Sus scrofa: one gene and its partners. The protein of the gene in region 1 interacts with the protein of each later gene in a biochemical or structural test. Links are inferred from orthologs where the notes say so. Each region holds a gene or a part of one and is shown in the gene's direction. Other genes may lie near its edges.

Evidence for each region.
Region 2: the proteins of LRRK1 (region 1) and VGLL4 form a complex in vitro, tested with the Homo sapiens proteins (2 studies listed by BioGRID and IntAct, with this or other methods). The link is inferred for Sus scrofa from reciprocal best matches to the Homo sapiens genes LRRK1 and VGLL4.
Region 3: the proteins of LRRK1 (region 1) and SNX21 form a complex in vitro, tested with the Homo sapiens proteins (2 studies listed by BioGRID and IntAct, with this or other methods). The link is inferred for Sus scrofa from reciprocal best matches to the Homo sapiens genes LRRK1 and SNX21.
Region 4: the proteins of LRRK1 (region 1) and FOXP1 form a complex in vitro, tested with the Homo sapiens proteins (2 studies listed by BioGRID and IntAct, with this or other methods). The link is inferred for Sus scrofa from reciprocal best matches to the Homo sapiens genes LRRK1 and FOXP1.
Region 5: the proteins of LRRK1 (region 1) and FLT4 form a complex in vitro, tested with the Homo sapiens proteins (2 studies listed by BioGRID and IntAct, with this or other methods). The link is inferred for Sus scrofa from reciprocal best matches to the Homo sapiens genes LRRK1 and FLT4.
Region 6: the proteins of LRRK1 (region 1) and FGFR2 form a complex in vitro, tested with the Homo sapiens proteins (2 studies listed by BioGRID and IntAct, with this or other methods). The link is inferred for Sus scrofa from reciprocal best matches to the Homo sapiens genes LRRK1 and FGFR2.
Region 7: the proteins of LRRK1 (region 1) and ABL1 form a complex in vitro, tested with the Homo sapiens proteins (2 studies listed by BioGRID and IntAct, with this or other methods). The link is inferred for Sus scrofa from reciprocal best matches to the Homo sapiens genes LRRK1 and ABL1.

What each region holds. Positions count from the first base shown.
Region 1 is NC_010443.5:139,612,626-139,616,125, forward strand, and holds part of LRRK1 (leucine-rich repeat serine/threonine-protein kinase 1), read left to right. Parts: coding exon 1-21; intron 22-972; coding exon 973-1,124; intron 1,125-2,911; coding exon 2,912-3,029; intron 3,030-3,500.
Region 2 is NC_010455.5:67,737,707-67,741,206, reverse strand, and holds part of VGLL4 (transcription cofactor vestigial-like protein 4), read left to right. Parts: intron 1-2,459; coding exon 2,460-2,649; intron 2,650-3,500. UniProt on the Homo sapiens protein: May act as a specific coactivator for the mammalian TEFs.
Region 3 is NC_010459.5:48,036,608-48,040,133, forward strand, and holds the end of SNX21 (sorting nexin-21), read left to right. Parts: intron 1-1,959; coding exon 1,960-2,634; 3' UTR 2,635-3,026; downstream 3,027-3,526. Other genes in the region: ACOT8 (acyl-coenzyme A thioesterase 8), read right to left, coding at 3,144-3,262. UniProt on the Homo sapiens protein: Binds to membranes enriched in phosphatidylinositol 3-phosphate (PtdIns(P3)) and phosphatidylinositol 4,5-bisphosphate. May be involved in several stages of intracellular trafficking.
Region 4 is NC_010455.5:52,367,774-52,371,273, reverse strand, and holds part of FOXP1 (forkhead box protein P1), read left to right. Parts: intron 1-2,365; coding exon 2,366-2,567; intron 2,568-2,671; coding exon 2,672-2,751; intron 2,752-3,351; coding exon 3,352-3,453; intron 3,454-3,500. UniProt on the Homo sapiens protein: Transcriptional repressor. Can act with CTBP1 to synergistically repress transcription but CTPBP1 is not essential. Plays an important role in the specification and differentiation of lung epithelium.
Region 5 is NC_010444.4:78,093,008-78,096,507, forward strand, and holds part of FLT4 (vascular endothelial growth factor receptor 3), read left to right. Parts: intron 1-247; coding exon 248-416; intron 417-729; coding exon 730-847; intron 848-2,977; coding exon 2,978-3,142; intron 3,143-3,223; coding exon 3,224-3,385; intron 3,386-3,500. UniProt on the Homo sapiens protein: Tyrosine-protein kinase that acts as a cell-surface receptor for VEGFC and VEGFD, and plays an essential role in adult lymphangiogenesis and in the development of the vascular network and the cardiovascular system during embryonic development.
Region 6 is NC_010456.5:131,187,502-131,191,001, reverse strand, and holds part of FGFR2 (fibroblast growth factor receptor 2 precursor), read left to right. Parts: intron 1-1,635; coding exon 1,636-1,773; intron 1,774-3,500. UniProt on the Homo sapiens protein: Tyrosine-protein kinase that acts as a cell-surface receptor for fibroblast growth factors and plays an essential role in the regulation of cell proliferation, differentiation, migration and apoptosis, and in the regulation of embryonic development.
Region 7 is NC_010443.5:270,873,141-270,876,640, forward strand, and holds part of ABL1 (tyrosine-protein kinase ABL1), read left to right. Parts: intron 1-1,588; coding exon 1,589-1,762; intron 1,763-2,607; coding exon 2,608-2,903; intron 2,904-3,500. UniProt on the Homo sapiens protein: Non-receptor tyrosine-protein kinase that plays a role in many key processes linked to cell growth and survival such as cytoskeleton remodeling in response to extracellular stimuli, cell motility and adhesion, receptor endocytosis, autophagy, DNA damage response and apoptosis.

The sequences.
Region 1 (3,500 bases):
TGGGACACGAAGCCTGAGAAGGTACCTGGGAGCGGAGCCTGGGGGCCCACAGCTCCTGCCAGGGGTGGAGGCTGTGGGTCTCCAGAGTGCACATGTATTGGAGCTCTCTGGTGGTGCAGTGGGTTAAGGATCCAGCATTGTCACTGCTGTGGCTCAGGTCACTACTGTAGCATAGGTTTGATACCTGACCCAGGAACTCCCTTATGCTATAGGCATGGCCAAAAAAGCAAAAAACAGCAAGGCTGAGGGCATGTGTATAACTGCCTGCCCACCCTTCCCTAAGGGTCTAGAATAAATGCAGCAACACTTTCCTACTCACCTCTTCTACCAATAGATGTTAACTGCCTTTAATACACCCAGTTCATTTTCTTTGCATGGGTGTTGCTCTCAGGAAAAATGAAGTTTCTTTCCCTCCCAGTATTCATGTTACATCATCCTGCAAATAAACCAAACCAACCCTTTTATAGCAAGACAGCCCCTGAGCAAGGGCAGAGAGAACGTGTGTGCGCGTCTCTCTCCAAAGTAATGGGAGGAAGGTTTGCTCCTAAGAAGCAAGAGCCATGTTACCATTTTGAAGCTAGTCCTTTTAGGAAGAGACTGGTGGTTTTAAGATTAAAACTCATTTATCAAATTAGATGGTGCTAATTTAATGTGTTGAGGATAAATGAGATCCGAGAAAAACTCTTTAGAAGATTGTTTGTCCCTGGACTTGGGGCGGGGGTGGAATATCAGAGGTTAGGCTGAGCTGACCCCCTTTGAGTTCATGGACGACAGTCACCATCCAGACGCAGAGGCAAAGGGTTTGTTTCTGGCATTTGAAGTTGTTTCGGCCTCTTGCTTTGACTGGGTCCTGAATAAGCAGCTCCACTACTTCCTTCCTGGTTCAAGACCCTTAGTGTCTCAGACAGGCTGAGCATCCATCTGGTTGAAAACCGACCCTTGTTTACAACCCTGATGGCCTCTCTCCTGCAGCGACCGCTGGCCCTGGCAGTGGTGAGCCAGATGAAGGACCCGACCTTCGCAACCTTCATGTACCAGCTGCCCTGTGGGAAGCAGACGGCCTTCTTCTCGTCCCAGGACCAAGAGTACATGGTGGTGTTCTGGGACGGGAAAGAGGAGTCTAGGTAAAGCCTGAGGTTTACAGGGCCCTGCTGGTATCAGAGTTAGGGTGGGGGGCGCATCGTGGACTTGGGGAGCAGTCGGGGACAACCATGATGAGAGATGTTTAGCAGACAGGGCTTGAAAGCCTGTTGGAGCCTGCTCAAGAGAAAAAACAGTCTACATGCCTGCAGATGGGCACGCGTGGGTTTGTGGATAAGAGAAGCAGAGAAAAGATGTCTGCTGAGGATGGGGGGTTAAAGGCGAGGGGTTGTTTTAAGATGGGGGAGTTATTTGCAGCTTGAGAGTAGAGGTGAATGATACTGGGAGTCGGGAGAGAGGACAGGGACTAGAGTGGAGCTGCCGAGTAGAGACGAGGGAAAGGGCCCCAGGGTCCAGCAGGAAGGGTGCCACTAAGTAGGATATCATGTGCTCCCCCTTTCAGGTGCATCTCTTTTTCTCAGTGAAGTGGCAGGAAGGGCAAGGCCATTGGGGAAAGGCTCAGAATATTTGAGGAGAATGACAGAAAGCCCAGGGATTTGGAAAGGTAGCATCAAAGCCTTGGCAATGTCCAGGAAAGCCCCATTCTGTGCAAGACCCTTCAGTTCTCGCCAGGGCTGTGACCTCTCCCACCTACCTAGTGTGATATCTTCAGAGGCAAAATAGCATTTTATGGCATGAAGAATCTTCTGGAAAGTCTGGTGGGAACACTAGAAGTTGCTCAAATCTGAGCGGACGTAGATAAAGCAAAGCTTAAGATGCAGTGAGATAAATGAAAGGGACTGGAAGTAGTTCTGGCCAGAAGCACAAGGGCAGTGAGCCTGGGAAGTGAGACTGGAGAGAAAATGAGACAATCCGAGAATGAAGGAAGGGATGGGGGGAGAAGGAAGGGATGGGGGGAGAAGGAAGGGAGGACATGCCAAACACAGGACGCATGTCACAAAATTCTTGTTGGAGGGAATAGGGGTATTTCACCCTTTAAGTCTATATTTTTCTTTTTTTTTCAAGTTAAATGTAAAGTGATTTGTAATATCCTAGTTTCACTTTTTCAATGCATAGAAAAAAGACTGGGAAAAAAGGGGGGAATATAAACTTTGAAGGAAGTTTTCATTTGGAGATTTTTCACTCAGCTCTCTCGTCTGTAGATACATGTTCTCAGTCAGCAATGGCAAGGGTTTCTGAAATGTGCTGACAGAAAAATTTTACATTGAGAACTGCTACCCACTCACTTGACTTATTTCCTTGGACTGGGGACAAGGTCCCATCAAGGACATCCAGTGATGCAGGGGGTTGGGGGTGGTGGTGAAGGGCTGTATTTATAAAACACAGCTTGTTAGTTCTTTGTAGAGAACTCATTGAGGCCCCAGTATACTCTGAAATTCCCCTGTCTTGTCTCTAGTTGACCCGGTATTGTCTGCTGTGGGGGATCCCCCTTTACTGGGGTAGGGACAGACATGGCCAGTGGAGGGTGGGGCAGGGAGTGGCCTGCGTGCAGTACAGCCTCCTAATGTCTCTTTCTGCTTTAGGCATGACCTCAAAGGTCGCAGAAAGAGGAGGGTCCTTCTTCCCCTTGGGAATGGCCTTCCTGCGCCTAAATGTTCAGGCATTACCAGGCAGACGAACCAGGCTCTGCTCCAGCCACGAGCAGTCCTTGAGTCTCTCGGAACAGGCAGAATTGGACTCTGGGCTGGAAGGGGTGGCCAAGGGCCATGGCAGCTGATGTCCTCCTCTAAGGCTGCTACAGGCCAGGCCAGGGAGAGGGAGGGGACCCCTGACCGGCATGAGCTGACCACATGGTTGTTGCCCATTGTAGGAACTACACAGTGGTGAACACAGAGAAGGGCCTTCTGGAAGTGCAGCACATGAGCTGTGCTGGAATGAAGTTGAGCTGCCAGCTCAAGGTCCAGAACTCTCTGTGGACGGCCACTGAGGTAACAACCCCCTGCAGGGCTCTCCTCAGGGTGGATGACACCAGCCCCTGGTGGGGGGGGTAGGGGGGCATTTAGCAACTAAACATGCAGGACAGGACACCTGGGTACATTTGAGGTTTAGGCATAACCCCAGCCCACACCCGTGAGACCCCAGGTCAATGCCAGCAGCCCAGTTGGCAAGCAGCATCTCACCAGGGGCAACTCAGCCTGCTTTGTCCCTGGCTGGTGACTGGGGTTCAGCTGTGATAGTGTCAAGGGCAGAATCCCAGCAAGAGAACCCCAGCAGGTTGGTGAAATGACTGGGTTTCTTATAACCCTGCCGTGTCTACGCAGCAAATCCACTCAGCTATGAGGCCCTTTGCTTTCTTGTAAAGAGGTCAGCAGAAGGCAGAGGAACTGTCTTCTGAGGAATCCAGAGAGGAATGCCCCAAAACAAAGTCTCTGAAGCTGCTCTTGGGGGGGGGGGTATAA
Region 2 (3,500 bases), on another chromosome or scaffold:
AGGATGCCTCCCCCCCCCAGAGAGGTGGACCACCTGGTTCCTTCATGGGTCCTTTACTCCCCAGGTGACACATCTCCACTTTTCAAAAGATAGCTATGGACGTTCTTGGCCAGACCTCAGCAATTTGGTCCCAAAGGTAAGTGATAGCTCTGCTGGATGAACTTAAAATGCCAACAAGCCCAAGAACTTGTCCAAGGATTGAAATTGGGGGTGGGGCAGGAATGCTGTGCCGACGCCAAGGATTTTGCACGGGTGACGAGTGACTCTTCCTTTTGTGGAAGGGATGTGATGTTGCTGTGGTGGCAGTTTTCCATAGTAATGGCTGTTGCCACACATCTGGCACCTGATAATATGGCTCCCAAAGCCCAGGGGTCCACACAGAGCACTCCTCACCCTGAGTCTCCTGCCAGGATGTGGAGAAACCCTGGGGAGGAGGGGGTGCTGGCTCTGTACCTCCTGGAGGCTTCACTTGCAGTTGCTGTGTCCCCCCAGGTATATTATCGGGGCTCCTCCAAAGGTTAGCATGGCTGCCACCTTCCCCATTGGAAATGTCCTGTCCCCTTTCTGTGAGGAAGGAGAGGTCAGGACAGAGGGGTGGCTATGGGAAAAAAGTTTCCTCGTTTATCAAGGTATCAATATAAGTGCTGCTATTTGTTTGTCAGAACCAAAAATGACTTAATAGAAAATAGAGGTCAACCAAAATCCACTGAATTTCTGAGTGTAGCAGGCCAGCATAGGGCTGGGTTTTTTGATTTTTTTTTTAAGGTATTTTATTTAAAATGGAAAGTTCCAGGAGTTCCCATCGTGGTGCAGTGGAAACGAATCCAACTAGGAACCATGAGGTTTCGGGTTCGATCCCTGGCCTCGCTCAGTGGGTTAAGGATCCAGCATTGCCGTGAGCTGTGGTGTAGGTTGCAGACTTGGCTTGGATCCTGCCTTGGCTGTAGTGTAGGCTGGCAGCTATAGTTCCGTTTCAACCCCTAGCCTGGGAACTTCCATGCGCCTTGGGAGGGACCCTAAAAAGCAAAAAAAAAAAAAAAAAAAAAAAAAAAGGAAAGTTCCAGTTCGCCATGGGGCCAGAATCCTTAAAAGAAACCCTGACTGGAGGTGTGTTAGGGGGTCACTGTATACTTGCTCATTTATATCTTGCTGACCAAATTGGCAAAATTTTTATTTTTCCTGGTAAACATTAAGAAGGGTCCTTTTCAACCTCACTCTCCCTAACAAAATCTTATTTGTCATACATGCATGAAGTAAATGGCTGTTGAAACAGTCCACACATCTGTAATGATATGAAAATTAGTGTAGCAAACAAAGATTTCCTTTCTTAGGTACCACAGGCCTCAGGCAAAGTCAGCTCTATCCTAATAGGACCCTCAGATTGTGACCAAGTGGAAACAAAATTGGTCAGGCCTCAGAGACCAATACAAACAGCACAACAAAAGGGTTATTATTTGTGAAAAACTTAGGTTTGCCCCACGATGTGACTTAGTATGCTTGAAGTTTTCTATTAAAGTAACTTACTCTTGTTTATGAGTTTTAGAAAGTACATAACCGTTCTTGTGAAAGGTTGGGCTTATTTTAATTCATAATGCAGCACAAAGTTATCGCTTTGCCCAAAGCCTGTCTCAGACAGAACCGAAAAACACCAAGATGTTGAATCAGATTGAAATGTGATCACGGACGTGTCTAACTTTGAAAATGTTTTGAGAACTGCACCTGTGCGTTAAGTTCCTGACAAATTCTACACAGAAACTTGGTGCTGATCATAATCATAATATTTTTAACATGCCTTTTTTAGTGTAAGAATAAAATATGTTTGTTTTTCATTAAACAATGTGTTTTTTAACTTGGGGGGGCAAATATGTGAACTATTAACCCATAAATTTTCCTCATTCTTAAAAAAAGGGGGGTATCCAAAACATAATAAAAATGTAACAAGCAAGAAAAGTGAGTTTAGTGATTTAATGAACCCACTGTTAGGTCATTTTCTTATATGTATGGAGTTGAATACCTACAAATCAAAAGACCTTTCATGTTTTAAATTAACTTTTGAGATGGTTTATGGTCAAAACTCCCTCTCCCTGCAGTTTTACTTTATTGCAACTTTTTATTTTAAACTCTACCCTAAAAATCTGCTCCTGTGACTTGATGGAGGTGTTAGCGGTGGTGATGTTTTGCAGTATGTTGTTCACCTGAAACTTACACAATGTCGTATGTCAATTACATCTCCGTACCAGCTGGGGAGAAAAGAAGGATTGTGCTGGGAAACCACATTTATGTACAGTGTCTCATGCTTGGCAGCTCACCATGGGCCCGGCCGTGTTTTGAGAATGGCAGGCAGCCCGTCACAGTGCCAGAACTTTCCACTGGGAGCTCTTTGGCGTGGCGCCGGGGGCCAGGGGCCGGGCTGGGGGCGTCGCTCCTGGTCCGTGACACGAGTCTCTCTCTTTTTGCAGGTGAAGCTGCTCTCAGGGGGGAGCCCCGGCTGCAGACTCTCCCCGTGGCCTCGGCCCTCACCGGTCACCGCACGGGGCCCCCGCCCATCAGTCCCAGCAAGAGGAAGTTCAGTGTGGAGCCCGGGGACGACGACCTGGACTGTGAGGGCGACCATGCTTCCAAGATGAGTCGCATCTTTGCCCCCCACCTGTAAGTTCCCTGTCTCTGAAGCGAGGCCGCTGTTCGATTGCAACTTGGGGCTGACTCTGAAGGCAAGGATGCCCACTACTAGGCTTTTAAACTGATTTGAGTAACTGGGGAAACAATGGCCTCTTATCTCCTCCCAGCTAGCTTGTGCCACCACTTGCGTGTGTTCCCTGTGGGCATTAACTTTCTTGCAGGAGTCTTGGGGCGTTTTTCTGAAAACCTTGCTTGTTTCCGCCTGTACCACTCATGCTGGTTGTTGGGAGGGTAGATTGAGTGTGTGTTGATGTGCAGGTTGGTGCTGGGAGTGGGGTGATTGGAGGGGGCGGCCGGCAGCTGAGCCATTGTCTCTGTGAAGTGTCTTGCTCAGGAGTCTCGAGTTGTACCCGTGAACAAGTGCGTGTTCTCACCTTGTGTGTTCACGGTGTACGCTTGAACCTTCCCAGAGTGGGAGAGATGGCTTCCTGTGTTTGGGATGAGGAGGAGCCCTTAGGTGGGAGGTACCCACGCCTAACGCCCTGCACTCCAGTGTTCTTATTTGTGATATGAAGGCCTCCGACTCCGTGCGACCTCCTTGTGCTTGTACTTGGAAACCAGTGTGAGTCCATGCGCAGTGTTGTGACTTCTCCGTTGCATTTCTCACACATGCATCTCGCAGAGGGTGTGGGGTGCTTCTTCATGTGTGTGCAGGACTTGGTGGCACCAACCAGGCTCTCTGGTCAGTGGGTGTGATCAGAGTCCTGGCCTCATGGCAGAGGGGGGATCACTCTGACTGAAGGCATAGCTGTCTGTCTGGGTCAAAGGCCCTGCTCCTTTCCCCTCCCCCTGCGTGAATTACTGTTTAGTGATCATTCAGG
Region 3 (3,526 bases), on another chromosome or scaffold:
AATCGGGGTTTGGTGTTAGTCGGCTTTTGACATCCAGCGCTTGCTAATCCCCCTTCACACCTGTTCATTCGGTCAGCGTTATTATAGATTAATACATACATGGTTTTTCTGACCGGGGAAGCTTAGAGGTCATTTTGTTCAGTGTTTCCCAAACCTCCAGCACCACCTTCACGATTCTTGTCCTATCTAATTGCTATTTGTACCATTCTGTGCTCAATATTTTTCTTCAAATAAGACTATTTTTTAAAATAAGTTTAGGACGTTCCCATCATGGCTCAGCAGGTTACAAACGCGACTAGTATCCATGAGGATGTGGGTTCGGTTCCTGGCCTTGCTCAGTAGGTTAAGGATCTGGTGTTTCCATGAGCGGTGGTGTAGGTTGCAAACACGGCTTGGATCCCCTGTTGCTGTGGCTGTGGCGCAGGCAGGCAGCTGGAGCTCTGATTCGACCCCTAGCCTAGGAACTTCCATATGCTGCAGGTGCTGCCCTAAAAAGCAAGAAATATATATAAATAAATAAGTATAAAAGACAACTTATAGCACAACTGTATGTGGAAAGCCTCACTTGCCATAAAGAGAAGATAACGTAAAAATAAAAGCAGTGAGGGAACCCCTGCCACGGCACAACAGGATTGGTGGTGTCTCTGCAGCACTGGGACATAGGTTCAACCCCTGCCCCAGCACAGTGGGTTAACGATGCAGCGTTGCCACAGCTGTGGCATAGGTTGCAATGGCTTGGATCTGATTCCTGGCCCAGGAACTCCATATGCCATAAGGCAGCCAAAAAACAAACAAACAAAATTAAATAAAAGCAGTGAGGAATTCCCTGGTGACTCAGTGGGTTAAGGGTCTAGCATCACTGCTGTGGTGTGAGTTTGATCCTGGCCTAGGAACTTCTGTATGCCTGGGCACAGTCCAAAAAAAAAAAAAAAATTATAAGAATAAAAGCAGTGAAAGTAAAAGTGTCTCTAAACTCTGCCTGGATGCTGGTGCCTGAAGAAGGCCCTGACCTGAAATTCACTTTGTCTCTTTTCTAAAAATGGAGACAAGAGTTGGAGAAAGGCTTTTTTTAATGGCCTCTCCTGCAGCATATGGAAGTTACTGGGCAAGGGGTTGAACTGGAGCTACAGCTGCTGGCCTGCACCACAGCCACAGTAATGCCAAATCCTTAACCCACAGAGTGAGGCCAGGGATCGAACCCGCATCCTCATGGATATTAGTTGGGTTCTTAACCCCCTGAGCCACAACGGGAACTGCAGAGAATGGCTTTCTTAAACCAAACTGAGAGCTTCTCAATTCGTAGTCAGGCCCACAGAGAATTAGAAGGGGCATCACCTCCTCCCTCTGATTCAGTATTACTTGCTCCAGTACATACCACCTAAGATCTCAGGTACATGCACGGCCCACACTTGATAAACACTGACCCGGGCCAACGCTCCATCTACCAGAGCTGGACGCTGACCCGAGGTTAGAATTTTCCACAGTGGTCACTGTCTGAAGGCCTGTCTCCCAGGTGTGGGTTGGAATAACCTGGCTAGGGATATGGGTTATGTGTGCAGAGTGGAGTAGAGCTCCAAGTTAAAGGTTGGCTCTAGAGGCCCGAGATGAGCCTGGGTTCAGCGCCCCGCTGGCTCTCCAGGGGACTGTCAGAAGCATTCATGGCCCTGCGGGTAGGGAGTTCTCCCTAGAAGGGGCAAAGGGGGCGGCTGGTCTGGGCACTGAAGCTCATCTCTGTCTTTTTCTCCCTGTGCTGCCTTGGGCCTGGGTCATTTCAGACGAGCCTCAGGTAAGACGGGGCTGGGCTTCCCAGCTGCAGCCCCTGTAGCTCCCACCCTCCTGGGCGCCCCCTCTCGGGAGTGAAGGGAAGAGGTGGGGGAAGAGAGTTGGCAGTGTGGGGGTGGGGAGGCCAAGGGACCCAGGGAGAACCTGCACCCGCCCTGACCCCCACCCTCCCCGCAGCTCTACACCCTCGCCGTGATGGGCCCAGGGCCGCCAGATCGCCAGCCAGCCCAGATCTCCCGCCGCTACTCGGACTTTGAGCGGTTGCACCGAAACCTGCAGCGGCAGTTCCGGGGCCCCATGGCTGCCATCTCCTTCCCCCGAAAGCGCCTGCGCCGGAATTTTACTGCAGAGACCATCGCCCGCCGCAGCCGGGCTTTCGAGCAGTTTCTGGGCCACCTCCAGGCAGTGCCTGAGCTGCGCCAAGCCCCAGACCTGCAGGACTTCTTCGTGCTGCCTGAGCTGCGGCGGGCGCAGAGCCTCACCTGCACTGGCCTCTACCGAGAGGCTCTGGCACTCTGGGCCAACGCTTGGCAGCTGCAGGCCCAGCTGGGCATCCCCTCGGGCCCAGACCGCCCTCTGCTGACCCTGGCGGGGCTGGCCGTGTGCCACCAGGAGCTAGAGGACCCTGGGGAGGCCCGGGCATGCTGTGAGAAGGCCCTACAGCTGCTGGGGAACAAGAACCCTCACCCCTTGCTGGCACCCTTTCTGGAGGCCCACGTGCGGCTCTCCTGGCGCCTGGGCCTGGACAAACGCCAGTCGGAGGCCCGGCTGCAGGCCCTGCAGGAGGCAGGCCTGACCCCCACGCCACCCCCAAGTCTCAAAGAATTACTCATCAAGGAGGTACTGGACTAGCCTGGCCCAGACCTGAGGCCACTGCAGGGAGAGGCACTGCCCCAGGGTGAGGGGTGGGATGAGGGTGGATGAGGACATGGACAGTAGTTGAGAGGCTACCAGGGGTGCTGGGAACCCCCAGAAGTTGTGCAAAGAATTTGAAGCAGACTGAGGAAACGCGCTGCTTCTGTTGAGAGCTGGGCTCAGGACAAGCTTTGGCTGGGATGGTGCAGGGAGAGAGTCTGATGCCGCTGCCCCAGGTTGGGGTCAACGTTCCCTTTCCCTTGGGCCTCCAAACCCATAGGCAGCCTGGCCAGAGGGCCAGGGACTCTGCCCCAGGAGTCCTGGAGTCGATGGCTGGAGGGAGGGCTGCAGTTCTGGCCCCAGGGGGATTAAAGACGGCAGCTCCAGTGGTATGAGTCTTTATTGGATGTCAGGGACAGAGGGCTGGCCCTGGACAGTAACTCCTGCCTCAGGAGTGGGGAGAGAAGGAAGGTCCCTGAAGTGCCAGGCCAAGCTGGTACCTCTGGCTATAGCTTGCTCTTTGAAACCTTGGGCTTCACTCGGATCACGCCCTCCTGGGCACAGGACACAGCCAGGACCCCGTCCTGACGCCACAGCCGCCCATGAACCAGGGCCCGGGAACCACCTGCAGGCAAAGAGAAGGGTGAGAACAGCTACCCATCTCCTTCAGCACAGCCAAGCGCCCCTTGAAAAAGGTGCATCTCGGTCTGGGCGGCCTGCACCAGGGCTGACTGCTATGGTCCCTTCTGCAAGCGCCGCTCCCCTTAAGGAGCCTGTTACGGCTGGTCGTCAGGGTAGCTCCTCCCACGGGAATCCCACTTGCTGGTCTGAAAGCACTTTCACACATCTGATGGCTTCCTCAAAAAAATCCCAAGGGGAGAAGTTCTGA
Region 4 (3,500 bases), on another chromosome or scaffold:
GTTTTCTGGTTGTTGTGCCTATTTTCCTTTGATCATTGTCTACATTTCATGGTAAGCCCTCCAAGGGCAGCCATTGTCTGTTCTATTCCGGTTTTTGTCATTTCGGTGCCCAATGCTATAGGTTTGCTCACAATATTTATCAAATGTTATTTATCAGCAGGGATAAAAGCCATTCCCTGAATCCTTTCCCAAAATGAGCATGCAGAAAAATGAACCTGGCTAGTATTTATTTTTCCCGTTTTCTGGACATAAGGAGAGTATTATACAAAGGGCCTAGAATCACAAGTGTGTATTTGATTTTGAGTCTGTGTTGTGAATATGGGCAACTTATTTAATCTCTCCCGAGGCTCTGTTTGCTTATCTGTAAAGTATGAATAATAACATCTCAAGTATTAGTGATGGTATGAGAATTAAGTGAAACCGCTCAGTGGCAGGTAGTTTACAAGATGACTTTTACAAATGGTACCCGTGACTCTGCCGAGCGTTCTGATGTTCTTAGACCTAACGGCATCTGCATTTTAAAAGCTGTGTATTTATGAGCACTAGCCTTTCGTGCACTCATTTCCTTGACCCGTTGCTGGGGCTGATGCTTAGCCATGGTGTTCCTGTACTTGGTGAAGAAGGCCCAAGGCAAAGAGGAGGCCAGCCCCAGCCTTCCTCCTTAGCTTTTCTGCCCTCCTTCATCTCATGGCTGCTACCCTAGACTTGGTACTTACTGTGCACATTTGTGTCATGAAGTCAAGTCGCTGGCACTAATTAAAAAAAGCAGCTCCCAGCATCTGCCCAGCTTGCTAGGGTGGGAGGGGTGGGGGGTCCTCAGGGTGGTGCCATCTCCATAGCTTGCCCTTATCAGGCCTGGGGGAGAAAGGGGCTGGAAGCAGGAGGGATTTGGTGTTGGCTGCGTTGGCATTTCAAGGGAGGGATATAAAGGAAAGCACAGCTCAAAGCTTGCAACCCAACATTCAGTTTCCAGCACCATGTTTACATTTTCCCATTAATATTTCCTCAATGATACTTGATCTCTCTCTCATTACTAGAGTATGAGTAAGGTTGAGTCTTCCCAACAAATTGGAACTCTTTTTTAACCTGTCCTTTGATTATGATCTCAGAGGCATTTCATTTTTAATGCTTTCCACAAATAATGCCCTATACTTAGGACTTGTTACAGTGGTGAAATGGCCAAATTTATTAAGTGATTCAAAATCTGGCTTGAGAAAATGATATCAAGTAAGCCTCCTTTACTGCACGTTTTTGGATTGGGGGCAGCTACAAGTTTCTGAAGTTGCAATTCTGGATAGACTGAAGAAAGATGTTGGAAACAACCAAGGTCGTCAGCGTAGCCAGATTTACTGTTTCAATAACAGTGAACTTTACCAGTACTAATAAGTGAAGCACCTCAAGGTGCAGGCGAAACAGGAAGAGGAAAGGCAGGATCAAAACAGTATACATTCCTTTTCCTCTGTACTACTTCAGATAAGTATTTACTTCCTTACTTGAAGCAATGGATTATTCCCCTTGAGTACTACACATTTGAAACTGGAAGGAGAAAAAAATGAGAATTTGTATAGTTCCGGATCTCTCCTATGACATATTCTTTTTAAGCCAATAGTTTAATGAAGATTGCACATAAAGCTTGCAAAGATTAGTCTCTGCCAACTGATGGAACTAAATGAATGTTTACTGGATCAGTGCCACTCTTTTTCATAGGAGTCACAGGCCAATTCTCTCTGCAGCATTTTCCATCCGTGAAGTTGCATCGTGGAGTTGAGGTAGCCCACCCCATTGCTGTCGAGGGTGGTAGTGGCTATACACCAAACTTTCCTTTTTATTAAAATTAAGTAAAACCAGTTTCTCACTTGGACTGGGACATTACAGAAGGTTCTGTTGAAGAGCCCAGGTCAATACCCATGTATATCCCAACTGGTGCTTCTTGAACCATTTGTGTTCAATGATGCTACAGGGACCCATCTTTCCTCTTGGAGGTTTAGGAGGCATAGCAAGCTGTTAAAAGGGGTGTGAAGTCATGATTAAAGACATGTTTTGACCCAGAATTTCTCAAACTCACCCAGCTAGGGAACCCCTTTTTGCGTCTGCAAACACTTACTTAATGGTCTTTGGAAAACACCTGTCTCAACAACAGGAAAGGAGAACATTGCGAGAGGTATTTTCAACTAACTACCGAGGGAACTATTTTTATGTGGGAACTCAAGTCTCCTTTCAGTTGCCGATAAGTATCTACTCTGAGACATAAAACGAGCCGGCCTCCCCCCCGCCCCACCCCGTGTCATTCCTGCCAGATTTCAGATGCTTTCTTGGCTGCTCTGTTTTTCTGAAGGTCTTCTAAGAAGTGTTCCTTTCCTCACAGCTGAATCTGGTCTCCAGTGTCACACTCTCCAAATCGGCGTCAGAGGCTTCTCCGCAGAGCTTACCTCATACTCCTACGACCCCCACCGCCCCCATCACTCCCGTCACCCAAGGCCCCTCCGTCATCACCACCACCAGCATGCACACAGTGGGACCCATCCGCAGGCGGTACTCAGACAAATACAACGTGCCCATTTCTTCAGGTAGCTGCTCCATTTTTGCCTTGGGTGGAATTGTAGTCAGCAATTCTTGTAGACCAGCCTCTTTTTAAAAAGTGATAATTAATAGGACAATGATTCTTATTTAGCAGATATTGCGCAGAACCAAGAATTTTATAAGAACGCAGAAGTTAGACCACCATTTACATATGCATCTTTAATTAGGCAGGTAAGTAAATAACACAGTATGTGAAATTATATCAGAAGGTATATACGTGGGCATGGATATATTGATGAAGTAGATTTAAAACCGTTTAGTATGCAAGCATGCTAAAACCTTTTCTATAAGGTTTTTTAAAACCGCAATATATAACATAATTGCTTTTGATTAAGTATTACAATACGATGTGATTATTAGGAAATTCATTTCACACAACAGTGAAAATGAGCCTGTTTAAAGATGGCAAGTCAATTATCACAAGCTACAGTAATCTCTGATCCCTAGAATTAATCTGAGCTCTAAATAATTACTGAGCTTTAATCAGCTAGTGAAATGTTTTGCATTTCTCTTTGATTCTGCTTTATGAATGACTAATAAATTAATATTTCTGTACGGAAACAGAAATAAAAACTCAAAACAATTAGATAATTCCATTTTGAATTTTGCTATTGAACTGGTAAATACAACCATTAATCTTAGATCATTTTGTGAAACCTTTCTTAGGATTTAACTCGGTAGCATGATGATTTTATATTTTCAAGAGACTGTTTAATGACATTTCTGCTGACATGGTCAAAATTATCTTTTTCTGTCACTTGTGCTTCACAGGCCATTCTCGAATCTCCAGAAAAGCAGCTAACACTAAATGAAATCTATAACTGGTTCACACGAATGTTTGCTTACTTCCGACGCAATGCTGCCACATGGAAGGTAAGCTTTCTTGTAGGCCTCTTTAGTCTGGGGTCTTGCCATTCATA
Region 5 (3,500 bases), on another chromosome or scaffold:
GCCCGAACCATCCCCAGGATCCCCATCTCTGCCCACCCTGGTCCAGCACACACGTAGAGGAGGTGCAGAGCCAGTCCTGCCCCCGGAGCCCTATCTGATAGGGAAGTTTTCCCATCCCAAGGAAAACTCTGGGTCTGGCACAAGGCTTCTGTTGCTACTTCTGGCTGGATGAGGGTGTGTGCCTCTGATGGCTGGTTCTGTCAGAGCCAGCCCGCTCTGACCCTACACTTCCCCTGGTCCCCGGCAGGCAGAGCGGGGTAGGTGGGTGCCGGAGCGGCGCTCCCAGCAGACTCACACGGAGCTCTCCAGCATCCTCACCATCCACAACGTCAGCCAGCACGACTTGGGCCCATACGTGTGCCAGGCCAACAATGGCATCCAGCAATTCCAGGAGAGCACTGAGGTCATTGTGCATGGTACGGCCTGTCAGGTCATCGTGCCCAGCATAGCCTGGGCTAGGGCGGGTGTTAGTCATCAAGCCTGGGGAACAAGGGTTCTTGTACAGGGTGGGCCCAGGGTCAAGGTCTGTGGTGCATCTGAGCAGTGTGGAGTCCAGCCAGTGGGAAGGGAGGGCCGCGAGTGGACAGACTGCCCAGCTCCCATGCCCCAGAGGACAGGGTGAGCCCCAGCCTGCAGGCATCTGGCCACTGAGGGTGGCTCTGAATCCCTGCGTGGTGGCGGGTCAGCGACATCAGCCCCAGCTTTACCCTGATGCCTCCTGTCTGGCAGAAAAGCCCTTCATCAGTGTCGAGTGGCTCAAGGGTCCCGTCCTGGAGGCCACAGCAGGAGACGAGCTGGTGAAACTGCCCGTGAAGCTGGCCGCGTACCCCCTGCCGGAGTTCCAATGGTACCTCCCTCACTCCTGCCCATCACTACCTACCAGGTCCAGTGTAAGCAAGAACCACAGGGAGGGACAGGCAGCATTCTCCCCATCAAGGCCCACTTCCTATGACCTGGATGGAGACCCCTCTGGGCCTGTGCCCTGCGTGGGGAACCCTGATGAATATTCTAAGGGAAGTGCGTATTTTGGCCAGAGAGAAGGGTGACCTGGATCACTGCTAAACTCTGAAAGGGTGTAAATACCGGCCTCCCGTTATATGTGGGTGGGCATAGCACAGGGCTTTATCTAGCTGTCGCTGCCTGCACCCACTCAGCCTCCTGAGGGCCGCAGGTAGAAGGTATCATAGAAGAATGGCTTCAGGTTTCTTTGGCTCCTCTCCAAACAGCTGGCCAACCCCAGGATGCTTCTAACCAGACTTTCGGAGATGTTACAGGGGTTTCCCAGACGGTCATGAGCTGGGCTGGGCCTGAGCTGTGTACAGCAGTGAGTTCTAGACTCTGACCTCAGAGTAAGGTGTCCCTTGCAGGGTAGGCCAAGGGTCAGTGAGGGGTCCTTCAGTGGTGGCTTCACCCTCACCAGGTGCTCCCCGAGAGCTCAGGAAAGTACAGCACCCCACCATGTACTCTGGGGCCGTCTGAGCTGTCCACATGGGCCAACCCTGGGAAGTCACGTACTAGGCTGACTCCCATCATACACATGAGGACAACAGGCCAGGAAGGAGGAAGTGCATTCTTACCTGACCTCTGAGCCTCCTGAGAGGCGTCTACTCCACCCTTTCACAACTGGCCAGAGAAGTCCTGCCTTCCTGGTCTGGGGCACTTCCCGCCAGGCAGGATGACCTTCTCTGCAAGCCTATAGCAGGGCAAGCAGAAGCCCCCTAGCCAGCACCCACTGCACTGACCAGAGGCTAGAAGCAGGCTTCTCCTGGGAGGGCCCCAGAATGCCCTGGGCCTGGGCTTGCTATGACCCTACCTCTGAGGCCATAGGCTTTGGAGTCCACTGGGGCACCTGGTATGGGACCAGGACTTGTCTCTAGAGACACTGATGCATGATGCAGTCTGCCAGCCTCCCTCACAGGGGTGGAGACACCCAGGGCCCTGTCCCCTGCCCTTTAAGAACAGCAGTACTGACTTTGTCTGGGAGGGTAACTGGCTCTGTTGCATAGAGGATCCAGCCCAGGCCTGGTCCTCAGGTAACTGACTGCCTCTCACCATTCCCACCACATCTGGCCTTTCTTTTCTCACTTGGCCAACATCTGCCTCCAACGAGTGCTTAGCTGGGCCCACTGTCCACTGAGACACCTGTCCCCGGGCACTAGTGACGACCATAGCCCCAAAGGGGCCCACTTGTCTCAGTCATCATAGAATGATTATGAGTAAGTAATGGATGGAGATCCATGGGTAGACAGGCCAGTCCTGGCTCCCAAAGCAGCCTCTGTGTGTCTGACACTAAAGTCTCTATCTTGGGTAGACCTGAGAGCACCTGCAAATAGGTTCCCTGGTTTTCAGATGAGGACATGGGGGCTTAAGGACAGTGAAGCCCTTTGCCTAGGATCACAAATGCAGCAGATGGCAGACAGGATTCTGCACCAGAGCCCAGCAGGCCTCATGGCCTGGGTCCTGCCCTGCCCTGCCCTGCCTTGCCCTGCAGTGTGATCCTAGGCAAGTGATGTCTCTTTCAGTAGGGCTCTGGCATTGCAGCCGAGAGCCATTCCCCTGCCTCCCCTTCAGTGTCACTCTGTGCCCATGGGCTATGCTTCTCGCAGAGTCTCTCCTTGGAAAACCAGGGGAAGGCACCCAAGGGACTGCCCCTCTACCCCTTCACAGCACACACCTCTGAAGCCTATGAGAAAGAGACAAGGCCCCCATGGGGACTTCAGTTGGTCCTGAGCCTGTAGGTGTTGTGAGACCCAACAGGTCAAGCCTGGAGACCATGCACATGGCCTGAAGGCCATCTGCTCCCCACTCCAGTCAGCTGCCTCAGCGCATACCCCTGCCTCGCTTCCCAGCAGCCTCCCGGTCTAATGCAGGAGGTGCCTCTTGCTCCTGGCCTCTCCCGCCTCCAGACAATATATTCTGGGGCTAGGGTGCCACAGGGAAGGAGTGCACGGACCCCTGAACTCCCTTCCTGGGCCAGGTATAAGGACAGAAAGGCACTGTCCGGACGCCACAGCCCGCATGCTCTGGTGCTCAAGGAGGTGACAGAGGCCAGTGCGGGCATCTACACCCTTGCCCTGTGGAACTCCGCGGCCGGCCTGAGGCGCAACATCAGCCTGGAGCTGGTGGTGAATGGTATGGGTGGGTAGACAGGAGAGGGGCTGGTGGGTGGACGGGGGGTGTGGTGGCGGAGGCTGGCTGACTGGCTGGCTCCCTGTGTCCCCAGTGCCCCCCACATCCACGAGAAGGAGGCCTCCTCCCCCAGCATCTACTCCCGCCACAGTCGCCAGGCCCTCACCTGTACTGCCTACGGGGTGCCCCCTCCACTAGGGATCCAGTGGCACTGGCGGCCGTGGACGCCCTGCAAGACCTTCACCCAACGCAGCCTGTGAGTGTGGCTCTACCCTGTCCGCCCCTACCTCCCATCCCCCACCCCCCATTCCCAACCCCACTTACTGCCTCCACCTGTCCCCAGAGCCCTCCTCTAAACTTGAATGCTAACA
Region 6 (3,500 bases), on another chromosome or scaffold:
AATGTCATAGAAATGGAGGGAAAACCATACAGTATTTCTAGGACGAGACACGTAAAAACACTACCAAGGCCAGGCTCCAGCTGGTGTTTCAGAATTTTAGCTTTGGAAATGGGGTTGAAAGATGTTCCCGTTGTGAGAAACTGGGTGAAAGGTACAGGTGGTCTCACTGTTATGTTTTTGCAAGTTCCTGTGTATCTGTAATTATTCCAAAATTAAAAAAAAAAATCACTCGAGGAGTTCCCTTGTGGCTCAGTGAGTTAAGAATCCAGCATTGTCACTGCAGTGGCTCAGGTCACTGCTGAGGCACAGATTCGATCCCTGGCCCAGGAACCTCCACATGCTGCAGGTGAGGCAAAACAAAACAAAACACACACACATTTGAGCTACTCTGATTTGTGTGGGTGGGAGGGTCTCTGGGGCAGGCCTTGATCCCAGGCTGTGTATAGCAGCTGGGGGTCTTCAGTGATCCGAGAAGGGGAAGCCGTGTGCCTCCCGTTTTGCAGTGAGCAGATGGCCTGGATTGTGCTGCTGCTCTAGCTCCACACAAAACTGAAGGCAGTTTCACATCTGAAACCCACCCTAATAGAATCATGGAGGGCGTGTTTCCAGTGACCCAGGCAAATGCGGGATTCTCAGCTTGATCAGCCCGGGAGCTGTCTCTTGAACAAGGCTCAGAATCCAGCTCTGGGCCTCTGCGAGGTCCGGTGTAAACTGTGCCCTGTGGGGTGTTTTCCGCTTCTGTTGTTTGACAGTCATCCCGGGCACAGGATGCCACGTCCTAATCCCTGCTCGGCGCTAACTTCCTTTATGACTTGAGTAAGTTGAGAACATTTGTGCCATCAGATGAACCACTGGCCACCTTGGGCAGCTGTTACCTCGCAGGATCAGCACGCTGGCCTCATTCTGTTCACTGCCCATACCCCATACCGCCCTGGGGTCAGGTACAGAGGCTGAGGGAAGAACTGGACAGGAGCATAAAGAGCTTTGCAGCTTGAAATTCATGCTGCTCACGCTGCATTAAGACAAAGAGTTTTAGGAGTTCCCGTCGTGGCACAGTGGTTAACGAATCTGACTAGGAACCGTGAGGTTGCGGGTTCGGTCCCTGGCCTTGCTCAGTGGGTTAAGGATCTGGTGTTGCCGTGAGCTGTGGTGTAGGTCGCACACGTGGCTCGGATCCGAGTTGCCGTGGCTCTGGCGTAGGCCGGCGGCTACGGCTCCGATTTGACCTCTAGCTGGGAGCCTCCATATGCTGCAGGATCGACCCAAGAAATGGCAAAAAGACAACAACAACAACAACAAAGACAAAGAGTTTTAGCTGAGAGTGATGGAAGGAGGGGAAAAAAATCTCTAGCAATGGCCCTCGGCCCCCACCCCCGCCCCAGCAAAAAAAGAACAGGGATGGTTTTTACCATCAGTTACCTGTTGATGGAAAATTCCATTGGAACATCCTTCAGCAACATCATTTGGGGATGCTCTTTGGGGGGCAGGAAGAAGCCTGCTGCATGAACTGCAGGAGGGCCCCCGGTCATTTGTCTTTGAATGCAAGATGCCAGCAGGCGTTTATTTTCTTAACTGGGCGTGTAAGGTTTCTGTGTTCAGATGGCTTAGTAATACTGTCTTCTCCCTTCGTTGCAGCTGGTCCTTCGGGGTGTTAATGTGGGAGATCTTCACGTTAGGGGGCTCGCCCTACCCAGGGATTCCCGTGGAGGAACTTTTTAAGCTGCTCAAAGAAGGACACAGGATGGATAAGCCAGCAAACTGCACCAACGAACTGTAAGAGCCATCACCTCTCTCGACGCCCCAGGGGACACGCCACACCAGTAACTCTCCTCCTGGCTGGTTTGGTTTTCTAAGCATGTCCTAAAAGAAGAATGGCGCTGGCTTTCTGGGCTCAGCCCCAGAACTGAGCTAGCTAGCTCCACTGACGGCCCTGACTGTCCGAAAGAGAGAGCATCCTTGTGCGGTGTATGGAGGGAGCTTGAAAGCACGGGCTGTGGCTGCCTGGCTGACGGCTCCTGACTTGGCTCCGAGAGCCCAGTGGTCCTCCCAGGCCACTGTGCTGCCCCTTGCTGTTGTCAGAGCAAGGTCCAGCAGGCCTTTTCTCATCCACAAGCTCGAAAGCCATGGGGTCGTGCCCTTCCTCAGGGGTGGTGCCCGCCCCTGCCCCAGCACATGGGGAATGGGTGCTTCTTGCAGCTTCTTTGTGACCACAGAAAACAAACAGAGCCACAGACACAGAGAACAGACTTGTGGTTGCCAAGGGGGGCAGGGGGAAGGGGTGGGGTGGATGGGTAGTTTGGAATTGGTAGATGCAGGCCGTAACATTTAAAATGGATAAGTGGAGTTCCCATCGTGGTGCAGCAGAAATGAATCCGACTAGGAACCATGAGGTTGCGGGTTCGATCCCTGGCCTTGCTCGGTGGGTTAGGGATCCAGCATTGCCGCGAGCTGTGGTATAGTTTGCAGATGCAGCTCGGATCCTGCATTGCTGTGGCTCTGGTATAGGCCGGAGGCTACAGCTCTGATTAGACCCCTAGCCTGGGAACCTCCATGTGCTGTGGGGAAGCATCTCTAGAAAAGGCAAAAAAGACAAAGGAAAAAAAAAAAAAAGAATGGATAAGCAATGAGGTCCTACTGTACAGCGCAGGGAACTATATCCATTCTCCTAATGGGAAATAATATAAGAAAGGAATATATGTATGTGACTGGATCAATCACTTTGCTGTATTGCAGAAATTGGCACAACACTGTAAATGAACTATACATGAATGTTAAAAAAAATGTTTAAAAAATTGCTATAATAGGAGTTCCTGTTGTGGCTCAGTGGGTTAAGAACCTGACTAGTATTCATAAGGAAGCAGGTTTGATCCCTGGCCTCGCTCAATGGGCTAAACATCCAGTGTTGCCACAAGCTGTGGTGTAGGTCACAGACGCAGGTCGGATTCCTAGGGGCCGTGGCTGTGGCATAGGCTGACAGTTGCAGCTCCGATTCGAACTCTAGCCTGGGGAGCTCCATATGCCATGGGTGCAGCCCTAAAAAAAAGAAAAAAATGTGCTCTGATCGATAAACATTGACCACGTTCCTCAGCGTGTACGTTACCCATGTTTTAGTGCAGAGAATTAAATCTTTGTCCAGGGGCCATCCTTCGAGTGCCCCATCCGACTGGAAAGCCGTGAGCCGGTTTCTAGCAAAACCTACTCCTTGCTTTCCGTGGAATTACATTATCTTGTTGTCATGCGTCTCGTGCAGTAAAATCACTGCTTTGAAAGGAAATCTCTCCTCCCAACCCCAGAATCAACTGAGACGAGGGATTGTCCCAGAGACCTTGGACTCTTTCATGGGGATCTTATATCAGTAATCCTGTGAGTGCTTTTTGGTACCACGGACATCTGATGAATGGCCACATTTTATAGTATATTATATAAAAACATTTATTGTGCTCCTTGTCATTCCCGTGCTCTTTCTACTCGAGAGGGTCTGTCGAAACCCATAATCAAGA
Region 7 (3,500 bases), about 130 Mb from region 1:
AAGAGATGTTTGGGGTCCTTTAAATCCATGAAGGAGGAACATTGAAAGTTTTGTTTTGTTGCCATTTGTGTGTCACCTAAACATACGGTCGACCCTTCTGTTCACTCCACGTGAGGGCTGTCCCTCTTCCTCCTCTTTAAAAGGCTGACTTCTCACTGCAGTTTCCTCAAAAGAGTATTTGGACTTCACGCCGCAATATTCTATAAGCGTTAAGATCTACTTGGAGTCAGTTTTGTTGGCTTGAGAGAACCCTTGTGTGTAGTGTCATCATCATCAAGAATTATGGAGAGTTTGAACATGGTTTAAAAAAAAAGACAAGAAGGAACTCAGGGGAAAAAATAATGAACCATATTTAATGCTGTAGTGAATACACATTCCTCATATAAAAGATGTCGGTTGATTTTCAACTTTAGAATCTACTTACAAAAATGAAAGACTTTATTATTACAGAATAGGAAAATAGAGTTTCTTTTACACAAAATAAAAAAAAAAAAAAGAAAGGAGGCCGTACTTGGGCGGCGGGGGGGCTAGAAGGAAGGGTAGGATGTTAATATCCTGGTGAGGTAAATAGTTGAGACACTGTCACCAGCAGGGAGAACAAGAAATAAAGGTGTGGGAGGGAGTGGGGTGGTCGGGGAACTTGAGGTTAATAGAGGCAGACTCTTGCCTTTGGAGTGGATGAGCCATGAGAGCCTGCTGTGTAGCACTGGGAACTCTGTCCAGTCACTTAGGATGGAGCCGGATAACGTGCGAAAATAGAAAGTGTACATGTATGTGCAACTGGGTCACCCTGCTGTACAGGAGAAAAACAAGTGTACTGGGGAAATAACTATTTAAAAAAAAAAAAAGAAAAGCATAAGTCTGGTACTGAAAATGCAAAGATTATAGTGACACAGCTTATGTTTACAGAGAGGGACGTGATCACCAAAAAAAGGCTGTTGCCTCTGGGTGTGGAGAAGGTTGGGATGGAACCTGTTTGTCCTCATAAGCCCTCCAGTACTATGTGATTTTTAAATTATATGCATATATTAACTTTCATACATTTTTAAATGTTTTAAAGCAGGACATTTTTGCTCCGTTTTTATAACATAAGCAATGGCAAAGATTGTTGCCATTTTTTAAACCACTTTTACTCTTAATAACATAATATGTGCAAATGTTAAGAAATGAAATGAGGGAATTCCCATCGTGGCTTAGTGGTTAATGAATCCAACTAGGAACCATGAGGTTGCGGGTCCTATCCCTGGACTTGCTCGGTGGGTTAAGGATCTGGCGTTGCCGTGAGCTGTGGTGTAGGTTGCAGACGTGGCTCGGATCTGGCCTTGCTGTGGCTCTGGCCTTGCTGTGGCTCTGGCATAGGCCGGTGGCTATAGCGCCTATTAGACCCCTAGCCTGGGAACCTCCATATGCCATGGGAGCGGTCCAAGAAATGGCAAAAAGACAAAAAAAAAAAAAAGAAAAGAAAGAAATGAATTAAGGATGTATAATGTTGGGAGTGTAGACTTTTTTTGTTCCTGAGAATAATACTTTTCTCCCCCAATTCTTCTTTCTCCTGTTTCTTTCTTCTCTTTCCGTCTTTGTCTTCCAGAAGCCCTTCAGAGACCAGTAGCATCTGACTTCGAGCCCCAGGGTCTGAGTGAAGCAGCTCGGTGGAACTCTAAGGAAAACCTTCTCGCTGGTCCCAGTGAAAATGACCCCAACCTTTTCGTTGCACTGTATGATTTCGTGGCCAGTGGGGATAACACTTTGAGCATAACTAAAGGTAAAGGAGGTGTGGGCAGCTGGTGATGGGTGAAAGGGACAGAAAGCAGGTATAGCTGTGGCTTGACTAGCCACCCTTTGCTGGTTGAAAGAGCAGCTCTAAAGTTTGGAATACAGAGAGATCCCCCAAAACTAACAGTGTCTTTATAAAAGGGTCCCTTTTCCTTAAGGAGAAGTTCCTGTGCAGTTCTCAGCAAAAGCAGCAGCTTTCCCTATTTTAAATTGAAGAATACATCTGGATCAAACCCTGAAGGCACTTTTTATTTTTTTAAGAAAAAGTATTTTGGGGAGTTCCCATCGTGGCTCAGCAGAAATGAATCTGACTAGCATCCATGAGGACGTGGGTTCCATCCCTGGCCTCGCTCAGTGAGCTAAGGATCCGGTGTTGCCGTGAGCTGTGGTGTAGGTCACAGACAAGGCTTGGATCCCACGTTGTGGCTGTGGTGTAGGCCAGCGGCCACAGCTTTGATTCAATCTTAGCCTAGGAACCTCCATATGCTGTGGGTGCGCCCTGAAAGGACAAAAAAAAAAAAAAGAAAAAGTATTTTTCCCAGAAAGCTTCCTTATATTAAGAACAGAGCACTTGAGTATAGATTTGTAAAAAAAAGAAACAAACAAACCAAAAAAACGGAGGCTATGTATTTATCTGTATATCCAGTATAAACAGGAAGCTTCGTATGTAAACATGTACTCTTATTCACGTATCCGTGTATATTGATGTGGACTTGTTAACATGAAGTAGGTATTTCGGAATTTGAAGATTTTTAGTAATCATACAGAATGAATGAGAATGAGCAAAAGTAGCTTTTCACACCAAGCCGTCTGACTTGGTCCCTTCCTTCCCAGGGGAAAAGCTCCGGGTCCTGGGCTACAACCACAATGGGGAGTGGTGCGAAGCCCAGACGAGAAACGGCCAAGGCTGGGTCCCCAGCAACTATGTCACGCCGGTCAGCAGTCTGGAGAAGCACTCCTGGTACCACGGGCCCGTGTCCCGCAACGCCGCCGAGTACCTGCTGAGCAGCGGGATCAACGGCAGCTTCTTGGTTCGGGAGAGCGAGAGCAGTCCCGGGCAGAGGTCCATCTCGCTGCGATACGAAGGGAGAGTGTACCACTACAGGATCAACACTGCCTCCGATGGCAAGGTAGGGCGCCCCGCCCGGGAGCTGGTGGGCCAGGGAGCCAGTGCTGCTGGGCTGATGAGTTGCTGCAGCAGAGCTCAGCCAAGGAGCCGTTTGGGACCAGCGTCATCCCGGTAGCCTGTTGAGGCCCGAGCGTGTGACGGTACGTCCACAGGCTCCCATAGGCTCGTGCGGTTCTCTGTCCTGCTGGAGTTTTGTTGTTAACAGCTTCCCGAGCTGACCGTGCACATACTTCTTACATTAAGTCTCTTCCTTTTTAAAAAAATCTCTTATTGTGATAGTAGTTTATCCTCAGGGAGAAAAATCCACACAGTAGATGTTATCTTTAAAATGAAAAGCCACCTTGGAGTTCCCGTCGTGGCTCAGTGGTTACCGAATCCAACTAGGAACCGTGAGGTTGAGGGTTCGATCCCAGCCTTGCTCAGTGGGTTGAGGATCTGGCGTTGCCATGAGTGTGGTGTAGGTTGCAAACTCGGCTCGGATCTGCGTTGCTGTGGCTATGGTGTAGGCCAGCAGCTTCAGCTCCGATTCAACCTCTAGCCTGGGAATCTCATATGCCACGGGAGCGGCCCAAAAAACAGCAAAAAGACAAATAAATAA